Coturnix japonica: one gene and its partners. The main gene of each other region encodes a partner of the protein of the gene in region 6 in a complex. Links are inferred from orthologs where the notes say so. Each region holds a gene or a part of one and is shown on either strand. Other genes may lie near its edges. The genes, in order: WDR5, KANSL3, ZNF831, THAP1, KANSL1, OGT and RBL2.

What was found.
Region 1: OGT (region 6) and WDR5 share a complex: the UniProt entries of both Homo sapiens proteins name them as parts of the NSL complex. The link is inferred for Coturnix japonica from reciprocal best matches to the Homo sapiens genes OGT and WDR5.
Region 2: OGT (region 6) and KANSL3 share a complex: the UniProt entries of both Homo sapiens proteins name them as parts of the NSL complex. The link is inferred for Coturnix japonica from reciprocal best matches to the Homo sapiens genes OGT and KANSL3.
Region 3: the proteins of OGT (region 6) and ZNF831 are in contact, whole or in part, in a crystal structure (PDB 8FUF), measured with the Homo sapiens proteins. The link is inferred for Coturnix japonica from reciprocal best matches to the Homo sapiens genes OGT and ZNF831. Residues at the interface, in NP_858058.1 of Homo sapiens: Phe723, Ile734, Met779, Ile787, Ile790, Asn791, Arg792, Gly793, Leu808, Ala809, Thr831, Arg832, Ser833, Gln834, Tyr835, Gly836, Leu837, Pro838, Glu839, Arg877; in NP_001371283.1 of Homo sapiens: Phe937, Ser938, Pro939, Lys940, Tyr941, Leu942, Leu943, Arg944, Leu945, Pro946.
Region 4: OGT (region 6) and THAP1 share a complex: the UniProt entries of both Homo sapiens proteins name them as parts of the THAP1/THAP3-HCFC1-OGT complex. The link is inferred for Coturnix japonica from reciprocal best matches to the Homo sapiens genes OGT and THAP1.
Region 5: OGT (region 6) and KANSL1 share a complex: the UniProt entries of both Homo sapiens proteins name them as parts of the NSL complex. The link is inferred for Coturnix japonica from reciprocal best matches to the Homo sapiens genes OGT and KANSL1.
Region 7: the proteins of OGT (region 6) and RBL2 are in contact, whole or in part, in a crystal structure (PDB 4XI9), measured with the Homo sapiens proteins. The link is inferred for Coturnix japonica from reciprocal best matches to the Homo sapiens genes OGT and RBL2. Residues at the interface, in NP_858058.1 of Homo sapiens: His506, His508, His509, Asn567, His568, Pro569, Tyr642, Thr643, Lys644, Gln849, Phe878, Val905, Ala906; in NP_001310537.1 of Homo sapiens: Thr417, Pro418, Val419, Ser420, Thr421, Ala422.

Annotation. Positions count from the first base shown.
Region 1 is NC_029532.1:5,717,758-5,722,013, forward strand, and holds the start of WDR5 (WD repeat-containing protein 5), read left to right. Parts: upstream 1-1,456; 5' UTR 1,457-1,580; intron 1,581-3,248; 5' UTR 3,249-3,362; coding exon 3,363-3,443; intron 3,444-4,066; coding exon 4,067-4,175; intron 4,176-4,256.
Region 2 is NC_029537.1:1,115,180-1,119,337, forward strand, and holds the start of KANSL3 (KAT8 regulatory NSL complex subunit 3), read left to right. Parts: upstream 1-1,358; 5' UTR 1,359-1,409; coding exon 1,410-1,630; intron 1,631-3,156; coding exon 3,157-3,327; intron 3,328-3,674; coding exon 3,675-3,765; intron 3,766-4,059; coding exon 4,060-4,158. Other genes in the region: FER1L5 (fer-1-like protein 5), read right to left, coding at 1-78, 157-212, 462-546. UniProt on the Homo sapiens protein: Non-catalytic component of the NSL histone acetyltransferase complex, a multiprotein complex that mediates histone H4 acetylation at 'Lys-5'- and 'Lys-8' (H4K5ac and H4K8ac) at transcription start sites and promotes transcription initiation.
Region 3 is NC_029535.1:9,813,754-9,817,951, reverse strand, and holds the start of ZNF831 (zinc finger protein 831), read left to right. Parts: upstream 1-1,398; 5' UTR 1,399-1,775; intron 1,776-2,745; 5' UTR 2,746-2,815; intron 2,816-2,954; exon of another isoform or gene 2,955-4,198.
Region 4 is NC_029547.1:47,539,757-47,543,972, forward strand, and holds the start of THAP1 (THAP domain-containing protein 1), read right to left. Parts: upstream 2,801-4,216; 5' UTR 2,760-2,800; coding exon 2,689-2,759; intron 2,499-2,688; coding exon 2,303-2,498; intron 1-2,302. Other genes in the region: transcription factor jun-D-like, read left to right, coding at 3,762-4,216. UniProt on the Homo sapiens protein: DNA-binding transcription regulator that regulates endothelial cell proliferation and G1/S cell-cycle progression.
Region 5 is NC_029542.1:2,357,173-2,360,672, forward strand, and holds part of KANSL1 (KAT8 regulatory NSL complex subunit 1), read left to right. Parts: intron 1-558; coding exon 559-754; intron 755-2,261; coding exon 2,262-2,427; intron 2,428-3,500. UniProt on the Homo sapiens protein: Non-catalytic component of the NSL histone acetyltransferase complex, a multiprotein complex that mediates histone H4 acetylation at 'Lys-5'- and 'Lys-8' (H4K5ac and H4K8ac) at transcription start sites and promotes transcription initiation.
Region 6 is NC_029519.1:2,160,103-2,164,205, forward strand, and holds the start of OGT (UDP-N-acetylglucosamine--peptide N-acetylglucosaminyltransferase 110 kDa subunit), read right to left. Parts: upstream 2,801-4,103; 5' UTR 2,668-2,800; coding exon 2,631-2,667; intron 1,059-2,630; coding exon 878-1,058; intron 1-877. Other genes in the region: TAF1 (transcription initiation factor TFIID subunit 1), read right to left, coding at 3,526-3,742. UniProt on the Homo sapiens protein: Catalyzes the transfer of a single N-acetylglucosamine from UDP-GlcNAc to a serine or threonine residue in cytoplasmic and nuclear proteins resulting in their modification with a beta-linked N-acetylglucosamine (O-GlcNAc).
Region 7 is NC_029526.1:4,008,850-4,012,347, reverse strand, and holds the end of RBL2 (retinoblastoma-like protein 2), read left to right. Parts: intron 1-161; coding exon 162-326; intron 327-700; exon of another isoform or gene 701-803; intron 804-1,078; coding exon 1,079-1,249; 3' UTR 1,250-2,998; downstream 2,999-3,498. UniProt on the Homo sapiens protein: Key regulator of entry into cell division. Directly involved in heterochromatin formation by maintaining overall chromatin structure and, in particular, that of constitutive heterochromatin by stabilizing histone methylation.

The DNA of each region.
Region 1 (4,256 bases), on a different chromosome or scaffold from region 6:
CAGAATCCGCGGCCTTGGGTCTGTTCCTGGCATTCTTAAAGACATCCAGAGGGCTCACACCAGCACTGAAAGCAGTCACTTCCCAATCATCTGAGACACTTATGGACTTTTCTTTCCTTTTCAGCATTACGGGAAGCTTTTCTCGCCCCCCAGAAGCCTCACAGACAGGTGTCTTTTCCAATGTACTTGGCAGATCACCAAGTTCAGGCTATTTGGAACCAAAAGGAATGAAAGACTTTGTGAGAGAGAAGCCTGCCAAGGCCCAGTCTTTCACAGAGAGGGAATTTGGACAGAGATCACATCCTGCTGATCCCAGCTGTGGCAGCATGGCCTGCGGAGCAAGAAGGACCCTCACAGATGACTCATAACCCACAAGTTCAATTTCATCCAAAGACAACAGGCTGTCCGTGCAGATTCTCTATTTATGACATTTGTTAAAGATAAATCCAGGACACTCAGAGGCTAAGGGGTTGCTTAGGATTACAATTACCATTTGTATTGGAAACTATAGTTTCCAGTTCCAGAAAGGTATCATTCAGTATAGATATAGATTAATATATATGAAATATCAGGCAAAAAAAGCTTCCACAACGAGAGGAGGCACAGTACAGAAATACAGGCTCTTGTCTCCTATGTGAAAGCAACACCTACCCTTATCACAAGAAAGCTGCATGAATGTATAGCATTACCCTGCTGATTTGTGGTATTTAGTCTTCTTTTCTTTCCAGAATGAAGACTATACACCAAGGCAAGAACTGGATTTATTCCCTAACAGCATAGGATGGATGGAGCATCTCTCACAGTTCCATGCCTGTATTTTCCCCCCATGGTAAAGGGCAGGGTTAAAGCTGCAGACTTCAGCTATGGGTTTCCAAGCTGGAGAAGGGCCTTGGCTTCATTACACCATCACTTTTTTCCTTTCTCAGCAGCCACCAGCATTTCTGGAGCCCGCAGATCTTCCTGTGTTACAGGGCCAGCACATAACACGTGTCTCTTGGTTTTCTTCCCTCTCACTGAAAGCAGTTCGGAAAAAAACCCACTGTTTTCCAGAAAAACACTGAAATTTGAGGAGAATCTGCATGCAAGCTAAATGGAAGCTAAATATATCCCTAGGCAGGGCTAGGCCGCACACCTACCCTCGGTATAACAGCATTACGTGGCCTGCTGTGCTGTTTACCTTACGGATTAGCTCAGTCTCCTCACAATATTGTGGGTTAAGCATGAATTTTCAGTGCTTTCGTTCCTTCATTCCTCAGGGCAGCGAGCACACACCTGAGGGATGGAGGCCTTCAGCACAGAGCCATTTCCAAAGGCGGGAAGCAGGCTGAAAAAAGAAGCGCGTGGCCCTTTAAGGCGCACGGCCCCCACTGATGCTTTTTGTCCCTCTGGCCGCACCGTAGCGCTCATGGGAGAGAGCGGCATTGTGCAGCCTTTGGCCTACATCGCGCATGCGCAGTGCCACATTCCCCGCCTGGCGGCTCCGGTGCTGCCGCCGCCGCCGTGTCCCCCCTCCGCCCCTCCCGAGGCAGGAGGAGGAGGCGGCGGTGCCGGGTGTGCACCCAGCCCTTCCCCTTCCCTCGGTAAGTCACTATGGAGCCCGGCTGGATGGGTTCCTTCAGCTCCGGCTTCGTGTGGGGAGCCGCCTCTCCTCCCTCCCCCACCGCCCTCACTCTGAGGCGAGAGGGGGCCGCGTGCGGCCTTGCATTGCTCTGTATGTGCATTGCATTGCTCTGTGTGTGCATTGCATTGCTCTGCAGCTCCGTTGCTTTGCCCTGCAGCTCCATTGCTTTGCCCTGCAGCTCCCTTGCTTTGCCCTGCAGCTCCGTTGCTTTGCCCTGCAGNTTGCCCTGCAGCTCCGTTGCTTTGCCCTGCAGCTCCATTGCTTTGCCCTGCAGCTCCCTTGCTTTGCCCTGCAGCTCCGTTGCTTTGCCCTGCAGCTCCATTGCTTTGCCCTGCAGCTCCATTGCTTTGCCCTGCAGCTCCATTGCTTTGCCCTGCAGCTCCATTGCTTTGCCCTGCAGCTCCATTGCTTTGCTCTGCAGCTCCATTGCTCTGTGCTGCTCCACGCCTCGCTGTAGAGCGTGCAGCCCTGTGGATGTGTGCACGCCCTATGTACGTGCACACACGTGGCTGTGTATCCTTGCAGGCTGTGTATCCTTGCAGGCTGTGTATTCCTGCAGGCTGCTGCTGCTTCTAAAGCCTTCGGGAAGTTTCTTGCTTACAAGCTGAGTTTACACGAGCTTCCCCCCTGGGTGTGGTGAGAAAGGGGTGTTTGCAGCCAGGGCCCTTTGAAGCTTGCCATGTGCTGCTGCTCAGGTTTGTATGAGGAGGTGCAAGGGGTAAGCTGTGTTGCTTGCTCAAGTTCCCATATAAGTTCAGGTTGAAATGCATTAGATCTGGATTATAGAGCTGGAGTTGCTGGTATTAACAGTAAGTAAGGAGTCTGTACTGTGCTTGTAAAGCTTGCAACTGGTGGCACTGAGCTCTGTGCCCTCCTGAGGACAAGATGTGCATCGTGGCTTGAAAAGTCAATGCTGTTCCTCTTGGATTTGCTGCCACAAGCAAAATGGATTGTGCTTGGGATGGGATATTGCAAATAGCAAAGGATTTGTAAATCCTTACAATGTGAGCTGCGGGTTATTCTGTTACACTGCTGAAATGAAGCTGAACTGCAGCGTGATTGTTCCCTCTGCAGCATCAGCCCTGATTGCAGGGTACAGCACAGCACTGCTCAGGTTTTGCTACAGAAAGCAGATCTGGTGAGGTTAATGCAGGGCTGCTGTTAGGCAGGGGGATCTCTCAAGCAGGGATATGGTGCTCACAGCATTTAGGGGGAAGGTATTAGACCAAAGTACTTGAAATAGGAAATGGAAAAATAAAACAAACCTGGTGTGGTTTTAAGCTTTGGAAATGCCTTATATATAAGGTGTTGTATTTGCTGTGTTGTACAGATGTTTCAAGGAATATAAGATAAACCCACTGCCTCTAAGAGCTACTCTGCTTTATTTGTAGTGATTGGTACAAAACACAGCAAAAAACGCTGTGCAGGAGCTGATCAAAGTCTTGTATTTGGGTTCTTGATAGACCACTAATAGACCTGTAGGCATAAAATGGCATGTTGCTGAGCAGGCGTACAATATGTTTCCTCATCATGTTTTCTGCAGACCTGCAGTTAAGCTGATCTTGTTCCTTTAGCTGCCTCTGATCCTTCTTTGATGGTTAATGTGATTGTTTGCTTTTTCTTCCAGGGTTTTGTTTCTAGCAGCGCTGTTCCTCTCCCCGTGGCAAGGGCTGCCTTGTGAAGCAGCACGTTCATTCTCCCCCTTCAAGCACCGTAGGTCTCATTTGCCGGCTTCAGAACCATGGCAACAGAAGAAAAGAAACCAGATGCAGAATCCACCAAAACACAATCGACTCCTTCCTCCTCAACCAATCAGAGCAAGGTGTGTGTGGGGAGCTCTGAACAATGCCTGCGTAAATGCACATGGTGCATACCTGCACGTGCACCAGGCAAACAGCAATTAGAGAACTGAATCAAGTATGCATTAAGAACTTCTTAATACGTCTGCCTCTGCTGTTGTATGGAGAGGGAAGTGTGCTGAAGGTTGTAGGGGAAAAGCAGGCTGAGTACAGCTTAGTGCTAGGTTGATTATTTGGTTGAAATAGAGTTTTAAGGGGCCTGGGGGAGTTGGCTTGTGGTTGCTTCTGAGCAAGGAATAGAACTACAGGCATTTCATAGTACTATACACAGAGTATAAAACCATCACCAGAGGTTTTATTTTAATCTCAAAACACTCTGTGCTCGAACTGTTGTGTTACTGTCATCTGTTAGTTGCAGGCTTGAAGGGAATTCAGATCAGGATGAGTTTGGTGGCACGTGGCTGTAATGTGCTTCTGGCTCCAGTGGGGGCTTGTTGAATTTGGTGGGGGGAGAGAATGTAAATGGTAGAATCTGTTCAGGTGAATGTATGTATTCATGTGTGCTGATCTCGTCTGATACTGAGCTTGTCACTGAGAAACTAAATTGGGAATTTATTCAACTCATTCATATGTATTTTTCTTCCAGCCTGCACCAGTGAAACCAAATTATGCTCTAAAGTTCACGTTAGCGGGACATACGAAGGCGGTATCATCTGTAAAGTTTAGTCCTAATGGAGAGTGGTTAGCCAGCTCCTGTAAGTATTGCTTTCTTACATCAACAGAATGCAAATACGGGCCTTGTAGAACTACTTGTCTTAACTGACTGGATGGAGAAG
Region 2 (4,158 bases), on a different chromosome or scaffold from region 6:
CTGACCCCAGAGCTGCAGGCGCAGGGCCAGGCTGTCAGTGGGGCGCAGGGGACGCGCAGCCAAAGGCCACACCAGTGTCTGTGGGGTGGGTGACAGAGGTCGGTGGGGTGGCCATGTGCCCCCATGGTGCTGTCGGCCACCTCCGGGTCACCTCACCTCATTCCATGTGGGACTGCGTTCTGCTGGCACCACTCGGGTGCTCCTGGGGACACCTGGAGGGACAGGGGGCAGCACATAGGGTTGGTGAGGGTGGCAATGTCCCCATGTGCCATTCCCATATGCAACCACTAATATCCCATCCCATGACCCATCCCATCCCATGACCCATCCCATGACCCATCCCATAAGGTCACTCAGTGCCACCCCATCCCATGACAATGACATGAAGGTGACTGATGCCACCCTACAGTGCAAGGACAGCCACCTCAGCATCCCCTTGTCCCCCTTGTCCCCATCAGTACCTCTGAATCGAGCATAAACGTGCACACCGGGTCCTGCGCCGGTGGCTGCCGGGAGGTGAGCGCTGCCCACCAGCAGCCGCAGCATGGCCGTGTCCCCGTGTCACCATGGCGTTGTCACCACGGTGCTGCCACGTTCCTGAATGCATTGAGGGGGGGGCACATGCCCACATGTCACCCAGGAGCTGTGTCACCGTGTGGCTGTGTCCAGCTGTCCCCATAATGTGTCCCTATGTCTGTGTGATGTATCACCAACCCCCCGTATCTGTGTGTCCCCATATCCACGTGCCACTCGTCACTGCACCCTATAAGTGTGCCCACATCCCCCTGTCCCTCCTTATGTCCCTGTGCCCCATGGCCATGTGGGCATCTTTATGACCCATCTTTAAGGTCCATTTTCAATCCTATCCATTCCATAAGTCCCCATGTCCACATCACTATGTCCCCACGTGCCCATATCCCACATGCCCATGTCCTCATATCCCTATGTCCCCATGTCCCACACCCTTCTGTCTCACGTCAATACACCCCCACGTCCCCACACCCATTTGTCCCCACGTCCCTGTGGGCATCTTTATGACCCATCTTTAAGGTCTGTTTTCAATCCTATCCATTCCGTGTGTCCCCATGTCCACATCACTATGTCCCCACGTGCCCATATCCCACATCCCCATGTCCCACACCCTTCTGTCTCATGTCAATACACCCCCATGTCCCCATGTCCCCACATCCATTTGTCCCCACGTGTCCCCCATCCACGCATCTCCTCGCCCACACCATAATCCACTTCCACCTCTTGTCTCCTCCCATCCCACTCCGCTCCGCTCTAATCCACTCTCCACATCTTCCCTCCGCCTCTCCTTTCTGCGCATGCGCCTTGCTCCCCCCGCCCCCCCTCTGGCGGCGCATGCGCATTGCGCGCCGCGGGGCGGCCGGGGTCGGGGGGGTGTCATGGCGCATCGCGGCGGGGAACGAGATCGTGAATTGCAATGGTCGGCGAGGAGGATGGGCACCTCGCTGCTGCTGCAGCTGTCGGCTCACGAGCGGGAGCTCGACCTGGTGTGCTTGGATCACAGCTACGCCAAACCTTGGAGCGCCCACCCGGATGCCAGCGCCGCCCGACCGGCCCGAATGCTGTTCCTCACCCCAAGGAGGCAGCCCGGCACCGCACTGTGAGGATATGGGGGGATATGGGGGGATATGGGGGGATATGGGGTGGTTTGTGAGGAGATATGGGGGTCTATGGGGTCTATGGGGGGCTGTAGGGTTCTATGGGGTCGAGAATGGGCCTCTAGAGAGGGTCTGGGGGCTGTAAGGGGTCTGGGGTGGTTTGTGAGGAGGAGGTTTGGGGTCTGGGGGGCTGAGGGGGCTGTGAGGGGCTGTAGGCCTCTGTGAGGGGGTTTCTGAAGGGAAAGTGTTGGTTTGGGTCGAGAATGGACCTCTATAGAGAAGGTTTGGGGGCTGTTAGGGGTCTATGAGGGGCTGTAGGCCTCTGTGGGGTCGAGAATGGGCCTCTATAGAGGGTCTGGGGGCTGAGGGGCCGTTAGGGGTCCGGAGTGGTTTGTGAGGAGGAGGTTTGGGGTCTGGGGGGCTGAGGGCTCTATGAGGGGCTGTAGGCCTCTGGGGTGGTTTCTGAAGGGGTAGTGTCGTGTTGGGGTTGAGAATGGGCCTCTATAGAGAAGGTTTGGGGGCTGAGGGGTCTATGAGGGGCTGTAGGCCTTTGTGAGTTGGTTTCTGAGGGGAAAGTGTTGTCTTGGGGTCGAGAATGGGCCTCTATAGAGGGTCTGGGGGCTGTTGGGGGTCTGGGGTGGTTTGTGAGGAGAAGGTTTGGGGTCTGGGGGGCTGAGGGGGCTGTAGGCCTCTGTGGGGTTGTTTGTGAATGGAAGGTGTCAGGTTGGGGGGCTGAGGGGCTGTTAGAGGTCAGTGGGATGGGGCCTGGGGTGGTTTGTGAGGTGAATGTTAGGATCTGGGGGTCTGAGGGGTCTGTAGGTCTCTGTGAGGTGGGTTCTGGGGTGGTCTCTGAGTGGGGTTTGGGGGATTGTGAGGTGAAAGTTTGTGACTTGGGGGTCTGAGAGACTCTGAAGAGGGTCCTGGGATTCTTAATGAGCGGCATTTTGAGGGGGTTGGGGAGCGGGGTGGATCTGTGTTGGTATGTAGGGGTCTGTAAGGAGGCTTTGGGGCTGTTTTTGAGGTGGAAGTGAGGGGTTTTGGGTGCAGATGCCATATAGAGGTCTATGTGGAGGGTCCTGGGAGGGATCCCAATCAGAGCCAGGCTGGTGTGTGAGAGATGCGGACCAGGGACACACAGGAGCGGGTTGTGGGGTCTGTGGGTGTAAGGTGGAATGATACAAAGATGGTAACAGATATTCAAAAGGTTATTTATAAGGAAAGACTCACCAATATGGATGCCTTTGCTGGGAAATGCTGAGGCAGTCTCCAAGAGATGCTGCCTTAGTGGTGGTCAGCCCTTAAATGAGGTCTAGAGGAGGTGGAGTCAAGCTCCAACCCTTCCAGGAGCTAAATTACTCTCACCTGTGCTCCCACAGCTGACCTGACACTTGTCTCAGCTGATTAATCAGAGGTTCAGGCTGTGATTACCAGTTTTCTGGGGCTGGGGGCTGCAACATGATGGAGGGGCTGAGGTGTGGGAGTACAAAGCGATCATCCCCTCTCTCTGAAGCATGATTTTTCCTTGCAGTGAAGCAGATGTCCCCATTGATGTCGAGACGGTGACAGCCACGCCGGTGCCTCTCTATGACAACCAGAAGGCACGCAGCGTGATGAACGAGTGTGAGAGGCACGTCATGTTTGCTCGCACGGATGCAGATGCCCCTCCACCCCCAGATGACTGGGAGGAACATGTGAACAGGTAACGAATGGCAATGGCTCGGGACACTGTTGTTAGATGGCACACAGATCCCCATCTCAGCCATAATACAATGCTGTCAAGTTAAAAATAAGAGGATGTGAGTCAGATCTACCATTGTAAACCCTCCCTGTAAGCATGGTTAGTCGATCTGAACTCTTGACATGAGGAGGAATGGTGGTTTGGAGGAGTAGGGAGGTAACCTGTGCTAAAGAGAGTGATTGTTTTGGTCTTATTTTTGGGTTCTGTTGCTTCTGCTTGGGGCTGTTTACCTGCTTTGGGAGCATGTGGCAGCTGGAAGGACTGGGATGGGTTTGTGAGCAGCGTTACCCCTTTGGTTTTCTCTCCAGGACGGGCTGGACGATGGCCCAGAACAAACTATTTAACAAGATTCACAAAGCACTGCAGTCTGACAGGCTGGCTCGCTTGGCCAACGAAGGGGTAAGAGCTCTTATTCCCTGCTGCTCTTCTACCTTCCAGCAGAGTTGTTGTGTGTTTTTATTCAGTCCTCCCTAGCAAAGCAAGGAAAGTCCTGGCCTTTGGGTTGTAAGGCCTTAAGAAACAGGGAACTCTGGGCTTGTCTGAGGTGTGATTTTGTCCCTATTGAGGGGATGTTGACCCTTGCTTGCTGCCAGAGTACTTGGAGCTGATACATTCCTGTGGTTTGGGGTGAACAGGGCATGTTTGACTTTTCCCATAATGGTTTTTATTCTCCTTTAATGTCCTGGATCCTAGGCTTGCAATGAACCAGTCCTGAGGAGGATAGCAGTGGACAAATGTGCTCGGAGAGTCCACCAAGCACTGGCTAGTGTGAACTGGGACACCAAACTGATC
Region 3 (4,198 bases), on a different chromosome or scaffold from region 6:
TTTCTGCCTTTCATTTCCACGTACACATGCAGGAAGGACGTGTCCCTTCACAGATCATATAGGTTAAGGATCTGCTTACCCAAAGTAGTTTTACAAGTGATTGGAGGGCTGGACACGATAGAAATTTGGACAGGCCTGTAACTGCTGTGAGAGCACTGTTACTGTACATTTTGTTTTAATGCTGTTTTTAACATGGGGAAGCCTTGAGGTGCTTTGTAAATTGCTGAAGACTTCAGAGACTTCATTGTTATTAAAATGGATCCTGAAATTATAGTTTAATAACATATCTTTACAAACACAATGATTGAAATAGATAACACATGGACAGCAGTTAAGATGTCTGTTTCCATAACAGCACACAGCACCAGAAAGGCCCACAATGACACGGGATACTGTTTCTATGGTAATACTGTTTCTTTGCCTCAAGGATGCAAGAAAATCCATGATGAAAAGCAGGAACTAGTATTTTAAGTTAATGGGAATTCCCTGTTTATAGTGATCAGCATCTAGCTCCTTTCTGTCACATTTTCCTTACAGCTTGCTTGTAACTACTTTTAGGCTGGAGACCCTCTTTAGCTTGTGTTCTTATTTAAAAAAAAAAAAAAAAAAAAAAAAAGGAAAGGGAAGGGAAGAGGAAAGAAAAGGAAAAGGAAGAGGAAAAGGAAAAAGGAAAAGGAAAAAGGAAAAGGAAAAAGGAAAAGGAAAAAGGAAAGGAAAGTCAAATATACAAAGGTTCAGGAATATGTGAAATGCTGGGGTTCATGCCTAGAAAATTCAGCATAGAACTTATATCAGAAGGCTCCTATCAGAAATCAGAGCAAAGAAAAGACTATTTTCAGTAATTTCAGCTCGTATTTTGTGCCAAACAGGTTTTGGGAAATTCAGCCAATTCCAGATAGATGGTCATTAGGTACAGACATGGTGAGGGAAACTTTAATTAAACAATAATGGTCGCATTTCAACATAGTTATTGAGGGAATATTAAGCAACTAGTAACAAGAGAAGAAATAAGCAAAATCTCTGCAGTTTTGCATATACCTTATTAGTACATGTAGAAAACTATATTTGAATACAACAAGAGATTGAGAATTCAATGACTTAAACCAGTGTACCATGTGTAGAGCCTGAGGTTGGATGCTGAGGATTTCTCTCAGCACATACCCAGTATTTCAGGACAAGGGGACACTCAACATCAGTAGCTGAAAAACCACTGATCCAGTTTTGGTACCTGCTGTTGAAAATTGGAGCCATTAATGGTGCCAACAAATTAAAAAAATTAAGGTAATCCAATTACTGCTATTTTAAAACACTAAGGATCCTTTGTAGCTATGGAAACAAAAACGCAGACATTAATGAGCAAGGGGGGAAAAAACTGGTGTTTCCTTGACAACAGAAGGAAAGCATAGCTCCATGAAACCCAAAGGAGATAATGACAGGAATACTTTTAACCATGATACACATACGAAATTCACGTCCGTTCCAATAACATACACCACTTGGAAAGGTGAAAGCGCTCTGCCAGGAAGACACAACCATGAAAGAACTACTTGGACAGTGGTCACGTCACGTCAGCAGTAAGCGCCAAACCTGAGACAGATCAAGTGCCGTGCAGTGTGGATGTGACTGCTGCACTCTAGAGAGAACTAGCCCTGGGCTGAGCAGACACTGACTCTCATCAGAGAGCTGAAGAATAGTTGTTCTTTGGAGTGCGTCGTAAATTCTGAGCACATATAGTACCTCCTATCCCAGCAAGAAGGCATGTAAAAATGATAAAGGTAAGTTTATGGCACGGGAAAGGACACAAGTAGTGTTCAACCTTATTATCACCACTGAAACATTAGCTGGCAGCCTCTCACACAATTCAAAGTATTTTTGTTAGAGGAATTCAGAATTGCTCAAAGACAACAAAATGCGAGAGGAATTGTGACAGAGGTAAATAAGAGGTCAAGTTAATTGGCAAACCCTGATATCTTGGTAGGAACAAATCTTTAAATCTTTCTCTGAACCTGTTGAACTTATAGAAGAATCTCTTCATACTGGAAAGTACATCAATCAGTCCAAAATCCTACATCGTGCTGTGTTTATAGCAATAAAGAGTTGGATACTGAGCTACAAGAATGTAGGGCTTCCTTGACAACGTGTTGAGAAAAAACACAACTACATAAAAGCTTATGGAGAAAATAAGAAAAAAATATAGTTGAGTTGGCAGAATGGTGTGGAACATGGATTTAGCCATGTGAGTGGTACTGGCATGGAATCAGTGATGTGCTTCTACAGTTCCAGTTACTGATGTTTTCCTTTATTGTTTATGACATTGATCCGAAAGTTGATTTACGTGATGAACGACCCTGTCAAATTCCAGTCTTGTTTTGTGCAAAGTACGTTTAAGTTAATGTAGCTGTTGGTTTTTAGAACATTTCTGAATATCATCAGCAGTTCTGAAGTTATCTGTTTTCTATGACAAACAAGAAACAGATGGAGGAATTGGTATGAGTAGTCTGTGCATATGTAAAAAAAAACTAACCTTCCTGACTTTCTGAGTCGAAGCAACTGTTCCTCTGAAAGCTACATGGCTTTTAAATGCATCATAATTGTAATTACTCATTTTTATGATATGCCTGAAAACACTATAGCTCATTACTGCAGCAATCTAAAAAACCTGGAAAGATTCTTCATACTCCTCCTGCAAAACATTTATTTCATAGAAGATGCAGCATTAACGTCCTCCACTTTTTATCCTTTCAGCTATCAGGAAAAGAATGACTTGAGCATGGAGGAGTAAATGAAGCTCCCTTCATTCCCACCTTATCTCCAGGTACGTTAGGACCAATTCTCAACTTGCTGGCCTGTTGTTTCTCTCAGTATTAAGTTTTGTTTGTGGGGGGGGGGGGGGGATGTTTGTGAAATATCCTTATGAATTAATGCATAAATCAGTCATTTGCCAGAACTGCTCATGCTGAATTAATACTAAAAAGTATAAATGAAGTGGAGCCCCAAGTCAACTCTGTACGATGATTCAGCACTTACAACCTTACCTAAAGCACATTAAATATAATGCTATAGAAAAAGAAAATGTCTGTAACTTTTAATGGGAGACAGCTTGAGGCTACGACTATCCTGTATACATATGCACCTTTCCTCAGGTGAGTGCCTACATGCACAGCCCTGCTGCTGAGGTATGAAAAGCACACGAGCACTTTAAAGCAGAAATTCAGTCCTTAGTGAAACACTTTGGTTGCATGCATAACCAGCTACACTTTGGTCATGATTGCCTCAGTGTTTTCTCAGCAGCCCTTGACTCTCTTCCCTATGGGATCTATTACTTATGCCTTGTGTTTTAGTTCTTTTCCCTGTACTGGCATTTCTTTGGCAAGCAGAACCACGTTTGCTCCTAATGAAAGTGTTTCTCCCTTTTGCTGTTCAAGCACATTTTTGTCTTCAAGTTCTTTTCTCCTGGACTTCTTTCTTTTTTTTTGGCCTGACATACGTGAGGATCACACTCGTGTTCAGGGTGGCAGTTCTTGCTGTCTAGCAAAAACATACAAAAGTGCCACATTAACATCAGTAGCCATTATTCATTACTGCTATTAGGGTAATATTTAGCCCTCCTATTTACTGGAATGCCCTCATTAATCCTGCTTTCCATTTTTTTTGTTATGATCAAATACTTCCAAATTTTTAATACTTGCTTTAAGAGACTGTCAATTTATAGAGCTGTGTTCTGTGGGGAAATACATCACGTGAAGCACCATATTCTAAGTGTTCCTTTGGTCAAATGGGAGCTCTGTAGGCAATCAAGTTCTGTACATTTAAACTTCAGAGTTCACACGTGTAAATGTGGCTATTTGTGATAACTGATAGAATTATTACACAATAATTGTTCATGTGGATTAGTCCTCAGAGGGGGACGAGGTGCATTCAGACATTTCAGATGCCACTTTATCTGCAGCTCAGTGGCTGATGATACCATGGCAGAAACGACGATTGCTACAGAAGTGCTACAGCTGACAAAGTCACTGCACAGTGCCCATGAGATACAACGTGAGCAATGGGACCCTGTCAAAGATACTGCTTCAAGCATTGCATTTTGTTGCTACTCTTTCAAACTGTCATGAAAGTTGCAATTTAAAGGACTTATGCATAATACACAATGTGTATCTGACCAAAACTGTTATCACAGAGCACACAGTGCACATAA
Region 4 (4,216 bases), on a different chromosome or scaffold from region 6:
GTTTGGTGATGTGATGAGCCAAAATAAACAGCTCTCCCAGCTCTGTTATGAATCCTTCCCTAAATACAGGATGTTGCTAAGATGACAGAAAGCTATTCACACTTCCACCATCGCTGCAATAAAGTTCTGTCCTGCATTAAAGTCAAAGCCATGCAGTGAGAGCTGTCATATGGAAGGAGTAAGAAAATAGGACTGGGTGGCTGGCAGATGGGATAGAGCAGAACACTAAGCGAGCTCATTCCCACATCATACTGCAGGCTTCACCATACTGCTCCAGATAGGTTCAGACACTTGCACGGTTCAGAACAATGCATACCTGTCATCACTTGGGAGGAGGTCAAAGAGAATTCTGATTATTCTGCCCCAGAGGAACATACTTTATTCAGAAATGCACACATAATGTATACTACCCGTTTAAAAAAAAAAAAACAAAAAAAAAACCAAAAAAAACCCAAAAGCCTAAGAATGTCTCAGTGAAAGAGACACTGAAACCGATTTTTTAATTCCCTGTCCCCAACATTATTACTACAAATAAAAGCATGAAGATGATCGCATCTTCAATTTTAACAGCCACCAACTGTCCCCTCTTGAGACTGGAAGATCACATTATTAAGCTTCTTGCCTTAACATAAAGAACAAGTCAACAGTCAGATTGGGAAGTACAGATGTCATCCTTGTACAAACTACATTAGGCACAGGAACTGAGAACACAGTTCCACTTCTGGTACTGAGGGGAAGTTTCACATTGCTCAGGTATTACTGATCACTTTAAAGTACAAAACCAGCCCACTGCCTGTGTCAGTTCTCAGTTATAAGAAGTGGATGCTCCAGGTGTGTCCATCTAAATCACATACCAATATTCTAAAATGTCTGACCTACAGCTTTCAAACTTTTCAGCTAAGATGACAAACCAAAGACATAATGTGCAGAGAGAATTCTGCCCATGTTAGAAGCACGAGCAAAAATGGCATTGTTGCCAGACAGCTGCATTCAGACAGAGGCATGTATTCAAGAGCTACGCAGCACATGCTGTGTTACTGCTGTCACTGTGTGTCACAGAGAGCTCATCGTTCATACTGCTCACACGTCACAAGTGAGTTCTTATTCCTTCTTACATCCAGTAAATGGTTGTCAGACATAGCTAAAAAAGTATTTCAAGAATTATGATGCAAAAAATGCTGTATCTCAAAATCAGTATGAATTTAAAAAAAATGCTGTCCTTATTCACTACTATTCAATGTCTTGAAGATACACTGAAAGCTGCTGTGACATAAATAGTAGCACCACCAACTCCTTTTCCATAAGGAGCCACTGTTCTGTGCACTCATAAAGCCAGGTACTGCAATGAATGAGAGAATGTGGCTCAGAACTACTGCATTGATGTCAATATTAAATACCTTCAGCTTTCACACTGCAATAAGTTTTGCAAACAATTTTAAGTGACATAGGAAATATGTTGCTAAGATTGTGGGGAACCGTCATCAAACAGATCTTAGCACAAAAAGCAGACCTGAAAATGGTCCACATTTCACTTTATACCTTGTGCTATGTATGGTCTCTTGCCTATTATTTCCACTTTTCATTTTCTAGATGTTCCTTCTTTATTTCTGCATTAAATCGAACATTGTATACTGTGTGGAAAAATACAGATGATGCCCTGAGCATGAGAAAGGGTTTATGTTAGCTCTGGAACACAAGTAAACTGCCTAAATATGTTCAATATTCAACAGACAGGCACTAGTTTTATATATTGTCAGTGGTGGCCAACACATACTCTGGAAGATCAAGAAAAGTGGCTAGCAGATGGTGCTCTGAATTATAACACAATTTTGCAGTTAATGCTATTTTGTAGGAGGCTGGACTTTTTGGGTTCTTTCACAGGGGCATCTGGATAGTCCTACCTGTAGCCATGACTTAATAGCTCTGGACCTGGCTAACTAGAACAAGACACCTGATGTGAAGCTATAACATTATGCTGATGATTTAATACTAGCCTCTGCAACTCTATCTGCAATAAAGAACACAGCAAGCACTGTCTTCTGATTTACAGGAGAAAGAATGGGCCATCAGTCCTGAAAAGTCCCAGGGCCTTGTATTATCTGTCATATTTTTGGGATGGTCTGATTGTGAACAATCAAAGCCCTACCCAGTGCAGTTAACACCCAGATACAAATGTCAGCCTGCAGTTGTTACAACAGGACAGCACCAGTAACACAACTGCAGTGATGACAAATGGCCTTAATGACAGGAGAAGCTGCACAGTGCATTTCGGCACCTGGGGCTGTGAGCAGTGTGCGCTTACCTTTTCACTGGGCTCAGTGTAACAGAATATAGTGGGCACAGCATTTTCTTTCAGCAGCTTGTTGTTGCACTCCCGCTTGAAGCAGTCGGGCGTGAAGTGCTCGGAGCAGATGCTGCTGTACTTGGTGGGTTTGAAGTTTTTCCTTTTCACCGCCGCCTCCCATTTCTTGCACAGGTCAGGCCTGGTCAAAGGAAACCTGACAACAACAGCTATTTTCAGCGTTTCTCAAACTCTTTATTCACGCCGGGCCCACCATCCCAGCCCCTCTCCCGCCGCCCAGCGCCCCCTTGCGTCGGGAGGTCGCACACCCGCGGCCCTGTCCCCGCCCTGGCGCCCTGCCCGCCCCGCCCCGCCCCGCCCCACCCCGTCCCGCCGCCCGCGCTCACTTGTGGAAGGAGATGGGCTTCTCTTTGTCGTATCGGTTCCGGCAGCGGTAGGCAGAACACGACTGCACCATCCCGCCGGCCCCGCGGCCGCCGCCGCCCAGCGGCGCGAGGAGGGGCTCCCAGGTGCCGTCCGCTCACCGTGGGGCCGCCATCGTGCCCCGTCCCCCCCCGCCGGTGACCCTCCGAGAGGGACGGCAACGGGACGCGGCCTCTCCCAACTCCAAGATGGCGGCACCAGCTTCAGAGCAACTCTCGCGGTGCTACGGCGCGCCGCCCTTGCCCATTGGTGGGTCCTCTCATGGGGGGCGGGGCCTCGGGAAGCAGATCGTCCAATCGGAGCGGCGCTCTGCCTTGCTCCCGCCCCTCGCTCCGGAACTACCTCAGGGGCAGCTGCGGCGCGGCGGCAGAGCGCCCCCAGGGCGGGATGGGGTGCGGGTGTGTGTGGGCTGCTGGGCCCTGCTGAGGTGTTAGGGTGAGCTAACAATACACCGACGCGATGGAGTACAAAAAGTTAACGCGGAGTGCGCTCCGCCGTACCATTCCCTGTATTACACCAGCGACTAACAGCAGCGGGCCGTTCCCCCGGAGCGCCCCATGTCCCGATCTCGCTGTCCCGTGCGGGGCGGGCAGCGGGCGCTGGTGTCGGGAGCAGGGGTGCGGGCAGCGCCCTATGGCGCACCCACAGCGGGAGCAAAGGGCAGGAGCCGCGCGAAGCAGCTCCAGGATGGGGTCCGGAACCCCTCAGAGACACAGGATGGAGAGAAGGGCAATAAGCCGGTCTATAAGCGAGCGCCGAATTCGGAGCGCGGCCCCTCGCGGAGCCCCGCGCAGCCCCTCTGAGCCGGGGGCCGGCGGCGGGGAGCTCGGGGGAGGCGGCGGCGTTGGGGCGGGCAGACGGCGGGACCGGGGCGGGGCGTGGGGCCGGTGGCGCCGGGAGGCGGCTCAGTCCCCGCTGAGAGCCGAGGGTTGCGGGCCCCCGCCGAACGCAGCCGCGCCGCGACACACAGCCGCCGCCGCCGCAGGGCGGGCACCGGGGAGCGCCGCGCCGCGCCGCGCCCCGGCCGGCCGGCAGCATGAGCGGCGGGCGGAGCGGGAGAGCCGCCGTGAAGATGGAGGCGCCGTTCTACCCCGAGGAAGGGCTGGAGCTGCTGCCCGACTTCGTGCCGCTGCCGGGTTTCGCCGCCACCGCCACCGCAGGACCCGGCGCCGAGGCGGCGGCGGGCCCGAAGCTACTGCTGGGAGCCGGGAAGAAGCGCGACCTGCCGCCCGCCGCCCCCTCGCCGCTGCCCGGGCCCTTCGCCCTGCGCCCGCCCGGCAGCGCCCGCGGCAGCGCGGCCGCCCTGCGCCTGCTGCCGCCCTCCGCCGCTCCCCCGCCGCCCCCGGGCTCGGCGCAGGGCTCGGCGGGGGCCGGCGCCGGGGCGGCGGCGAACCGCGGCGGACCGGAGGCCGCGCTGGGCTCGGCGGCGGAGCTGCCGTTGCTGAAGCTGCCGCCGGCCGCCGACCTGGAGCAGCTGCTCATCCAGGGCGG
Region 5 (3,500 bases), on a different chromosome or scaffold from region 6:
CTCAAAAGGGCAGGAATGCAAACTAGCAAAAGCAGTTCTCCAGTGCTGGAGGATGGTGTCAGGGTTTGAACCTTGTGCTGCTTGTGGAGGTTCTGGCAGTGGCTGCAGAAACACCTTGGGCAGGATGCTGCAATGTGAGCACATAGAAATACCCATGGACCTGCTCATGGCTACAGCTGGAGCACTGCAGGCCGTGGTACAGCCCTCTGTGTGCCTGCAGCCTGTCAGCTATGGGGCATCAGGCCACAGGGCTCGAACGTTTTGCATTTTTAGATGTGAAACACTCATAAAATAGGCATGGAAAGGCTGTGTGGGTGCGGAGCTCTGCTGGTGTTTAGTAGGTGGCATCATGCATCAGTGCCACAGCAGGGCAAGGATGCTGCATGTGGGCAGGAACCTCTTTGGTGTGTGGAACAGGAAGGTGAACATTGCACTTGTTGCTGAGGGCTATTGGAGGGATGGTTCCCAAGTGTTGATCAGAAGTTTATGTCTCTTTAAGTGTGACCGTGTCTGTGAGTGATAGAGGAATAACGCTCTGCTCCTTGTTGTTCTCTCCAGTCTTCAGCCTGGCCTGGCAGAACACGCTCAGGGAGATGGCCAGGAAGCTGAGGAGCTCTTGCATAAAAAGCAGCGGCTGAATGTGGTCTCTTCAGCTTCAGATGGGACGTGTGTGGCCGCCCGCACGCGCCCGGTGCTGAGCTGCAAGAAGCGACGGCTGGTTCGACCCAGCAGCATTATGCCCCTGTCCAAAAAGGTGAGTGCTGCTCCTTTGTGCTTTACTCTCTTTTTCTGCTCTACGTAGCACCAGCTGTGCACCAAAGGAGCTCCCACACCCCATGGGTTGGTCTGCTCTGCTTTGCACAAAGACATCTCCGCTCTTTGGGAGTGTTTGTGGTTACAGAGAGGGGAGGAAGAGCAGCCCAGGGGCTGTGGGAGAAGTAAAGGAGAAATGAAGAAGCTTTTGGTTTGCTGCAGGTTTCTGTTAGCTGTCATCAGTACTGGATTCTGACAGAGGGGAGGGTTCTTTTCATAACCCACCCATCCTAAGGTAAGCTTCAGGACAGGGGGTTCAGCCTGCTAAAATGGGAGCAGCTGAGTGAAGCAGGTATGGGAAACACAGATACTGAATACAGGAATTAACACAGACCCATTATTAATACATTATTTTCTGCTCCTCCCCACCGTCCCTTTCCCACATGCAGAATTCAGCTCTGTTTATTCCCTGAGCATCCTATGTGAGGACAAACCATGCTCCATCCTTCTTAACTTCCTTCAGGAGTGCCACGAGCTGTCAGTTGGAGAACAGATGCTTCGAAATAGAATAAGGACGGGGTTTTGTTTTTTTCTTAGGATTGCAGAACTATGGATGGCACAAATCCACTTAGTTGTGTTTGAGTCACAAGTGTTTCAAGTCAAACTTAATTACCACAAAGTTTCAGGGTTTCTCGCTCTGTGGGGGATAGGGTTTAAAGGAGCTCAGAAAGAAACATTCTGCTGAGCAAAACAGATTCTGGGCCAGCTGAGTTGGCTGAAAAGTGGGAATAATCAGTTCGCTGGGGGTATTTCTGTGCTTTTACCCTCATTGAGCAGGATTTGGTTCATTTTCCATCACTTCTCTCATTCCAGCTCTCTCCTCCAAGCTGCTTGCAGCCCTTCCCAGTTGTACTGTTATTTGCTAAGGCTTAAGGATATTATCTCTTCCATCATTCGAGTCATTAGTGGAAATTATCTGAATAATACCAGACTCAACAGACTTCACAGGATCTGATTCGATGGATCCTTCCATTTCAGTGGGGGGTTCATCGGTTGCTGGCTCTGCCTGTTTTACATCCAGTTGTGCATCTGCACCACGATGGTTTTTTATACAGAGGAGGTTTATATAAAGTCTGTGAACTGAAAGTCCCTCCTGGTTTAGAGACCAAGACTGAAAACCTTCTCACTCGCTGTAGGTGTCAGCTCTTGGCTGGTGGTTCCCTGTCTTGTCTGAACTAGAAGGTGTTTTTCCTCCCTGACAACAGAATTGTGCTGTCTCATGGTTTTGTAAATGAGGTTTTCAACCCAGATAAACACTTTTAATCAAGTCTAGGGGATGCTGTGTGCAGGCAAGCAGTCGTTCTCGGCTGTGTTGATGTAAGGTCCAGACTGAATCAACAGGTTTGCTGCAGGGTGTTATAAGATCAGGGTTTATTTGATGATCTATCAAAGGGCAGCATGCAAAGAGAGCCCTGTGGGATGCTGAACTTCTCTGTGGCCTTCTCCAGGTCCACCGGAACAGCCTGGCACGGTGCAGCTGTGATGTGAACCCCTCGTGTGCTCTGTGTGGTGCCCGCAGCTCCGCGGCGCTGGAGATGCAGTACGATGCGCCGCTGCTGGAGCGCCTCTCGCAGCTGGACTCCTGCATCCATCCCGTTCTGTCCTTCCCTGATGGTGAGCACAGCAAAGCAGGGCTGTGGGGAGGGGGTTGGGGGGTCGGGCTGGGTGCTGACATGGGACACCAGGGAGTGTCTGGGGCTTGAGGAGCTGTGCAGCCTTCACCCTGAGGAGGTGCTGGTGTGATGGATGCAATTAAAACCATGCTCTTCATCTGCACGTGCTTTTAGGAGCTGAGCATTTGCTGCAGCAGAAGAGAGAGTGTTGGCTGGGGCCTGAGAGTCTGTGCTGGGTCCTGTGCTGGTGTCATAAATAGCATAATCTGAGTTGGACGGGACCATAAGGATCCTTGCATCCAACTCCATCACCATCCAAACATCAGAGCATGGTGACTGGTGGTCACAGACCTCAGCAGAGCTTATTTACCTGCATGAAACCACTTGTGGATTGGTGGAAGCTGCAGGATGTTTCTTTGACCTTGTATGGAGTTGTCCACGATCTCGAGTGGGTCAGAGGGTACAGGAGGAAGGGACGTTCCCATTAGGCTGCTGCTGCTCTGACTAAAACCTATTGGCTGCATGTACTGCTCTCCACCCATCATCGTTTCCCTCTGACCACAGCGAGGTGCAGATGATCTGAGTGGGCACTCTTGCAGGAGAGCTGAGCTGTCAGCAGGCCAGGGCAGAGGTCTCCCAGTGGAAGGGGATGGCTCCTGGGGGGAAGGTGATGTTCTGCTGCTCGTGCTTGGGTCGGGTCAAAGCCTTGTGCTCACAGATGTAAATCCAGCTCTGCACAGACTTGGTGCAGCAGCGTGGAGTGCACGGCGGAGCTTTAACATCTTCTGAAGTTCTCTGTCCCTTCTCTCTTCTCCTTTTTCTGCTCGGTGTGATTTGTAGCTGGGAGTTTGGGGATGATGTAATAACCTTGGTGGAAGGATGTGAGCCGTGCTGAGCTCGGCGCGGTTGCCATCTGCCGGTCCTTGGATGCTCTGCACCGTGGCTGTGACCATCACAAGGGCAGCACAGTTTGTTTGCCTTTTGTCTTTGTGTTTCTGCCTCCTTTCAGCCTGGCCCATCCTTCCCCAGATGTGTCAGCTGCTGACGGTGGAATGTATTTCCAGGAAGAGGCAG
Region 6 (4,103 bases):
ATTCATGCTTAAGCAAAGCAAACATACAGCCAACATACGTGGGCTTACAGAGCTACCTTACATGTAGCTTCTCCTTGTTTAACCACCTCCCCTGTCCCCACTGCAGGTTCTACTGAGAAAGACAACCCAGCTCAATCAGCAGGATTCAAGTCTCCTCCTCAAACCTGAGCTCTACGTGGATTGAGAAACCATCACAAATACTCTGTTAAGCCTCTTCAAACATTTGCATGCTTTTTTCTATGCAGTGTTTCACTTACAGTCTTTCAGAAACAGAATACAGCAGACAAGCATAGGTTTAAAGTTCTGTCTTGCTCTCCTCTGTTTCATTTTCCCCCATCTAAATTATTACTACAGCTTCAATCAGAAGCCTACAGAGTAAATCCCAGTTACAAGTCATTACTTCCTTCACCAGCACAGACATTTAAAGTCCCAGAGGCTTGACAGACACAAGGTCAGGGAGAGGCAGGCAGAAGCAGCAGTGACAACTCTTAATTAAGCAATGCCATCTCACTGTAAACAATCAAACTCAGAACTTAAAGTATTAAACGCACACTGCAGGTGGAATACATGAAAGCTCCTTGTTTGCATGTGCAAATAACTCAGGGGCATGCAAGCATACAATACGAAAACGGCATGAGAGTAACAGCACTATCTGATGCTTGCTGCAAAGCTAGCAACTCCCACTTGTATTCCTCTTACCCTAAAAGAACTCAAGAAACAAGAACATTATTTCTGGCCAGTCATTACTGCTAGAATCAAGTCAGCATCTGCATTCAGTTCTAAAGCCAATGTCAGATAAGCACTTCTATTAACTGTGCTCGATACTATGAGGAGCACAAACTCCAAAAGAAGCTTGAACGCAACATCTCCATCCTACCTGTCCAATCTGCGACACTGGAAGTGAATAGACGATAGCAATAAAAGCACACCAGTATTATCAGGCTCTTGTCTCCAAAGCTGCATGCAGTGTCTCTCTGCTGCTTCAAAGTCTCCTGCCTGATACTCACGATGAGCCAACTCCGCTAACCCTTGGAAGGAAAGCATACGTTTCGTTGGTTCTGGAGAATCACCAAAACATTCAAGGGGGGAAAACAAAAAGTTAGAGAATGGAAACCAAACCAAAGAAACCAAACAGAAACTAAACGAAAATAAAACACCAACCAAAACCAAACCAAACCAAAAAAGAAACGGCGTATAAAACTAAAGGATGAAAACGATTGGGATGACACAAAACAACGCAGCAGGTGGAGGTTTGTGCTCTCACATCTTCAGGCCCCAAGCTGCTGCTGTGGGATTTCACCAGTTAACAGTTTAGAAACAAAAACAGCCATTACGGTTACACAACTTCATGTATTTTTCAAGTTAACGGAATGCAGTTAAGATAATCCTACTGTAAAGCAGTTACTTGGGCTCATACAGGCAGCAGAGCCAGACAATGAATTTCCTTGCCCCCTCCCCCCCATCCCCAGACCGGGCATGTAACACTTCCTAGCTCTGAAAAGCACTAAAAACCTCACAGGGAAATGCAGGACCACAGACACAAACTTCAAAGGACTCGAACTAAAGGAAGTTCTGCTGTGCCAGTAGATCCGTATCTTGTGAAAGCCCTTAAAGAAAAAGGCGTAATGCGCAGCGTTCCTTTAAATCTCCACTCCGCCGGCGTTATCTGCCACGCATAACAATTCCTCCATTGGCAAAGCGGCTGAATGCTATCTGATGGAAGAGCAGCGAGCTCCCGGGGCTGGGCTGCAACGGGGGGGGAGACAAACTACTTCCATCAAACACCGGGCTCAAACAAAACAACCCATGTGAGCACCCAGTCGTTACCGGACTGTTCTGCATTAGAATAGAGAAAGAGCAGCCCTTCAGGCGGTGCCTTTACACCACTCGGACCTGCTGTTAAAAGCCCTGAGTACTGCAAGCACCTCTTATTTTCCCCTCCTAAGCTCAGGGCAGGGAAGGGCAACGCTCCCAGCGCTCTGCGTGCACTGGGCCCCATTCGTCCAGCACTTCCTATCTGGCCCTACGGAATTCCACATCTCTGCTGTAACGAATCACACAATGGTTTGGGTTGGAAGGAGCCTTTAAGATCACGTAGTCCCAACCCTTTGCTATAGCAGGGACACCCCCCCCCCCTCTAGCCCGGGTTGCTCACAGCCCCATCCACCCAACCCGGCCCTGAGTGCTGCATGGCAGAGGGCGTTCACATCCTTGTCGGGCAACATGAACCAGTGTCTCCCCATCCTCACGGTCCAGCATTCCTGCCAGTTATCTACCCCTGTTCTAACGGAGCTGCATAGCGCCGGGCCGCAGTGCAGGCCGTGGAGCAGCGCTGACTGGGGGCTGTTAGCGGTGACCTTGGTGCTCCCGCAGCGCAGCGGCCCGGCCCCCAGCACAGCGCCCGTTCCCGTACCCACATCCCCACACCGCTCCGCTCCGCGCCGCCCCTTCCCCCCCGGCCGCCCCCGTGGCAGCGCCGTTTATTTCGGGCCCGTTGTCCGCCCTGCCCCGCTGCGGCTGACGGACAAATACAGCGCCTCCAACACGCGGCCCGGCCCGGGCCCACGCGGCCGCTTCTGGAAAGTTCCGCCGGGAGCGGCACCCGCGGAGCGCACCGAGCCCGGCGGTACCTGTGCTGTCGGCCACGTTCCCCACGGAGGTCGCCATCGGGACAGGGGCCGGCGGGGCGCCGGGCTGAGGAGGCGGAGAACGACAGAGCTGCCCGCGCTGCCGGCACGCTGAGGCGGCGGCTCCCGAAATGGCGCTGGCGGAGGCGGCGTCGATCGAATGGCTGCGGCCGGACCTACATCCCCGCGACAAATAGTCCGGGCGGAGCCAGCCCGCGGGGCGCCGAGCGGCGGAGTGATACAGCGGAACTACAGCCGTCTCCTTCCGCCGAGCGCCCCCTCCATGTGTATCACACGGAGCCGCAGCGCAGCTCTGTCAGCTGAGAGATCGCTCCGCGCCGACACATTGCGACAAACGCCGCCGCACTGCGCATGCGCCGCTGGTCGCCTCCACCGGCACGTGCAGCCCGGCCGTGCTGGGTCGGGGGGATGAAGGGGGGACTGGAATTAATTAGTATTTAGCATTAACACACGGGGCGGCTGCTCGCTGCAGGGGGCTGGAAGGCTAAGCTCACCTCCCAGCCATAAAGAACCGCTCTCTGAGCTATCATACAAAGCGCACGGTGCTTTATTCCGAGCAGCCTTCCTCTTCCCCAGACGGATCCAACAGAAACGATTTGACATCTGTTAAAATGAAGAACTAACAGTCTTCAGTGGGATTCCAGAGACAATAAAGGCCACCCCCCCACTGCGCACCGTGCCCTCAGTCTCGTGTTTTACAGCTGATTCAAACAATATTCACATCATATGCAACGCTGTATGAGCAGGCTGCTCCTCGTTAGCACAGTGTTAACGCAGCACCAGCGCTGCTCCTCGGATCCATGTGGGCCATCAGAAAGCACAGAGCTGAGAGCAGCTCATGCAGCAGTCAGTGCAGGGACAAGGAGCGCTCAGGAGGTCATTCATCCGAGTCCAGGTCACTGTCCCCTGCAATGGAGTGGAAATCCTCGCTGTCCTCCTCGTCCTCAGACAGGTGCACCTGGCTCAACACGCTCGGTCCACAACGCTGCTCTTCTTCTTCTTCCTCCTCCTCGGAGATCTCATACCCCCCGATGCTGCTGAAGCTCGTATCCCTTGTGTTGGACTTCGGGTCTGGCTCTTCGTAGCTGCCGTAACTAGGAAAAACAAACAAGTATGCTCATATTCTGTCACAGTGAGCTCCTGTAAAAGGTCCTTGAGATCCTTGAGGAACAACTCGGAACCACTGTGCGCTTCCATGCTGTCAGCTGTGTAAAGCAAAAACCCAGCTCTCCTGAACCAACACACTGCCAGCACCTTTGCTCTGTCCTGGATGTACTCAGGGCAGGAAAAGCAACTGATTGCTTCTATCTGCCTCCTTCACTGCAGATAGAAAGGCAGACGGTGCAACAACCACCATCAGAGCACAGCCCATCCACACAGCCAGTTGCTGAGGCACTGGGCTGGGCAGACCATTCACCCCACCCAGCACAGCCCCTCTTACAGGGAGGTTTTCAT
Region 7 (3,498 bases), on a different chromosome or scaffold from region 6:
TGTATGACAAATCCTGCCGTGTTCTAAGGAAAGCTATGGCTGTAGTGGAGGAAAAAAAAGATCTACACTATGTTTAAGATGACCAGCTTACATCAACTGTACTACAGGTGGCTCACTGAGATTACGTTGCAGCTGAGTGTTTTCTTTTTCCTCCTGAGCAGACAGATTCTCCTCCGCTCTCTCCCTACCCCTTTGTGAGAATCAGCTCTCCTCGCCGAGTCCAGCTGTCTCAGAACCACCCGGTGTACATCTCGCCACACAAAAATGTGCCTGCTCCCTCTCATCGAGAGAAAATATTCTATTATTTCAGCAGCAGCCCATCCAAGGTAAGAACTAAAGGCGTTTAGTTTGGTTTTATAAATCCTTAGTTCTGCCCTTTCTGTTGGGATGTGTTAGACTAGAAAAGACTGCTCAACACTCCTTTTAGTGTACACTGTTAAAGTTGTACTCTGTCACCAGACTGTCTCCAGCTTGTCAGTCTACAGATCTAAGAAGCTGGAGAGCAGTGAGGTATCCAAGGTACTTGTGTACTTTTAAAAGCTATTCTTGATAATGGTACATATGAAAGAGCCAGAAGGTACATCAGTGACACTACATAATGGGATGTGTGGCATGAAGGCCCTAAGAGTCAAACATGAAGTAGTCATTCCCTCTTATCTACGTAGTGAGGCAAAAGGTCTCTTAGCACAAAAAGACTCACCAAGCGAACATGGAACAGACTGAATCCCATGACCTCCAGTCATCCACCATTAAGTAGAAGCCTTCTCCACGCAATGTCTTCACTCAGGATAGGAATTCTGTACCTGTGGTGTAGGATAACATGTCATAACTACAGCAGGAAGGCCTTCCAGCTCCATGTGCACCAGCAGAGCATCAAAAATCTTACACAGAAGCCTTGATAAAGACTCCAGTAGTGGGACCAGTACAATGGTCAAAAGGGTTAGTTTGTTACAGAAAGCACTGTACAGTGCACAGCTCCAAAAATAAGGCATTTGTAAGCCTGCAGTAACGGGACAAGCAAAAACATCACTTTTTTGGTTGCTACAATAATGAGATTGTTTTTTCCACCTCTCCCCAGAGGCTAAAGGAAATTAACAGCATGATTAGAACAGGAGAAACTCCAACAAAGAAGAGAGGCATTCTCTTAGAAGATGACAGTGAAGCGCCAGCGAAGCGGATCTGTCAGGAAAACCACACTGCTCTGTTACGCCGCCTGCAAGATGTAGCCAACGACCGAGGGTCCCACTGAGGGCTGGGGCTCAGCACAGGTAGGACCTCTGTGCTGCTGTGCCAGGCTGCCAGCTCAGAGCATCCCACGGACTCAGCAGGACCGCACAGGCATCAGGCTCCTCCTGCCAGGCCATGCTGACCAGTCCCTGCTGGGCTGTACAGAGTCTCTGCCTGCCAGAGCTTCCCCAGTGCCAGGGGATGGGGAGGATGCGTTCTGAACCCTGCAGTTCCACTCTGTCTGTTGTAAAGCTGATCAGAAGGCAAGTGATCTACCTGCTGGCTTTGGCTTCAGAAGGCAGTTCAAAGCTTTGTATTGCTTGGAGAATGTATCCCTCATACAGCTTTCTGCCTTGTAACAGGTATTTAAATCCATCTGCTCAACCAGTGTACTTACAGTGTTTTCATCAATGCTTGACCATTTTCAGCTTTGGAATAGGAAGTTGTATATGTATCAAACATGGGAGCGTTGTACCAAGGCACTCATAGTCAAATGTGTCCTCTGGGGGAAAAAAAAAAAGGAAAAAATAAAACATTAAGTACTGCCATAAAAAGAATGATTTATAAGCAATAGTCTGGCAACATCCAGCCTTTTCTGCTTGGAAAGGGAAGATAGGAATAAGCTTTTTGAGCGCTGAAGGAAGCTGTCTGAATGGATTCTTTTTGTATTCAGGATGCTTTGTGTGCCCCCAAATCCATCACGTTGTTTTGCTTTAACATTTGGGCACCTTGTTGTATAGAAGTAGCTAACTCCATTCACGCATCATTTTTAGCTGTGCAATGTTCTAAGGTGAACTCGTGTTCAAAAGGTGGCACTTTGGATAGGGCTGTGAAGCATCGTTTTTAAGGCAGATTAGTGTTGCTGTATATTTGCAATGGCACTTTCTAAATGTGAATATCTTTTTAAAGGCTGACTTCAGCCTTTTTTCTTCACGGAAACAATCCAATTCTTGTATTTATTTTCAACGTGACATCCCATAGCTCCCCTTCTTCAGCAAATGGCATTAAGAATTCATTTTAACGTTATGTGCATGCAGTAACAAATGCAGGAGGCCAGGGACGTGGGCTTTGGTCAAGGAATTTTATACACCTCTGTTGTTTCTTCAGCTGGTTCTGCTTGAGAGTCAGAACCAGGAACCTCCCTTCCTCAGTAGAAGGAAGGTGGCCTCAGTCTCCTCAAGGTGCACACTGTGCTTCTGAGTGGTTATAAAGGACAAAGGAAGAGGTTCTGGGTTTTTTTTTTTAATGGACAGAATCAGGCTGCCTGGGAGAAATCTCTCCCCTGCTAATGGTATAAGAAAGCAGTGCGTATATTAATTAGACATACTAATTGTTTAAATTTTAATCAATTCTACAATACCAGCCCTGTTGGTATGCTTAGACCTTTCCTAATAACTACTGCCCTGTGCCAGTTGACTCATCTTTAATGACAACTGGGGACAATGCTGTTGTACTTGTAAAATTTAGCACACACGGATGCCAGAAGGTTTTGTAAGGAAGCAGAACTTAAAAGCTCCACGTTCTCATTCATTCCTGCTCCTTTGAATAATGGAAAGATTTGAGACTTAATTCCACAGTAAAATCAATTAAGGTAAAATAAAAGCATCTTCAGTTCTTACCTGTGTAAGAAGGGCTGAAGTGGAGCAGCGGTGTAGATGTTTCTGTAAAAATATTTATGAACTTGTCAGACAATTCTGTTATTCTGTACCATTTCCATTAATTTGTATGAAACACTGCAAGTGTATTTTTCAATAAAGAACTCATAATAAGGCTTGTGTGGAAAAAAAGCTTCATAAGAGCAAAAGCTACACCCAGTGTGCATCTGTCAAAGGCTCGGGCTGATCTGATGGCACAAACACCAAAATAGCACATAGCTGGGTTCTGCGAGGCTCATGATGTACTTAATCACAAGAACCTCAGCCAGACATTGACATTCAGGGTGTCAGGTAACGGGGCAGCGCTTCATTAACTACTCACTCTAAAAAAAATTACTATTCTTGCCTCTGTTAAGTCATAGTCTTAAATAGTGAAGCTTCTCTTCCTATTTCTGAAATATTCTTTACAGAAATCAGAATTACAAGAATTACTTTTACAAGTGTTTTTAAAATGCTGCTTAAGTCAGGTACTGATTGAAGCTCAAACATTTGCAGTCCATTTTTCATTAACTGACTCCCAGCAGTAGCAGGACAGGTAACAGCCAACTGCTGGAGGAAAGGGTTTGTTTCTTCAGTGCAGTCTGGGTGCTGTCTGCCTACCTTGCTCCTGGAACTG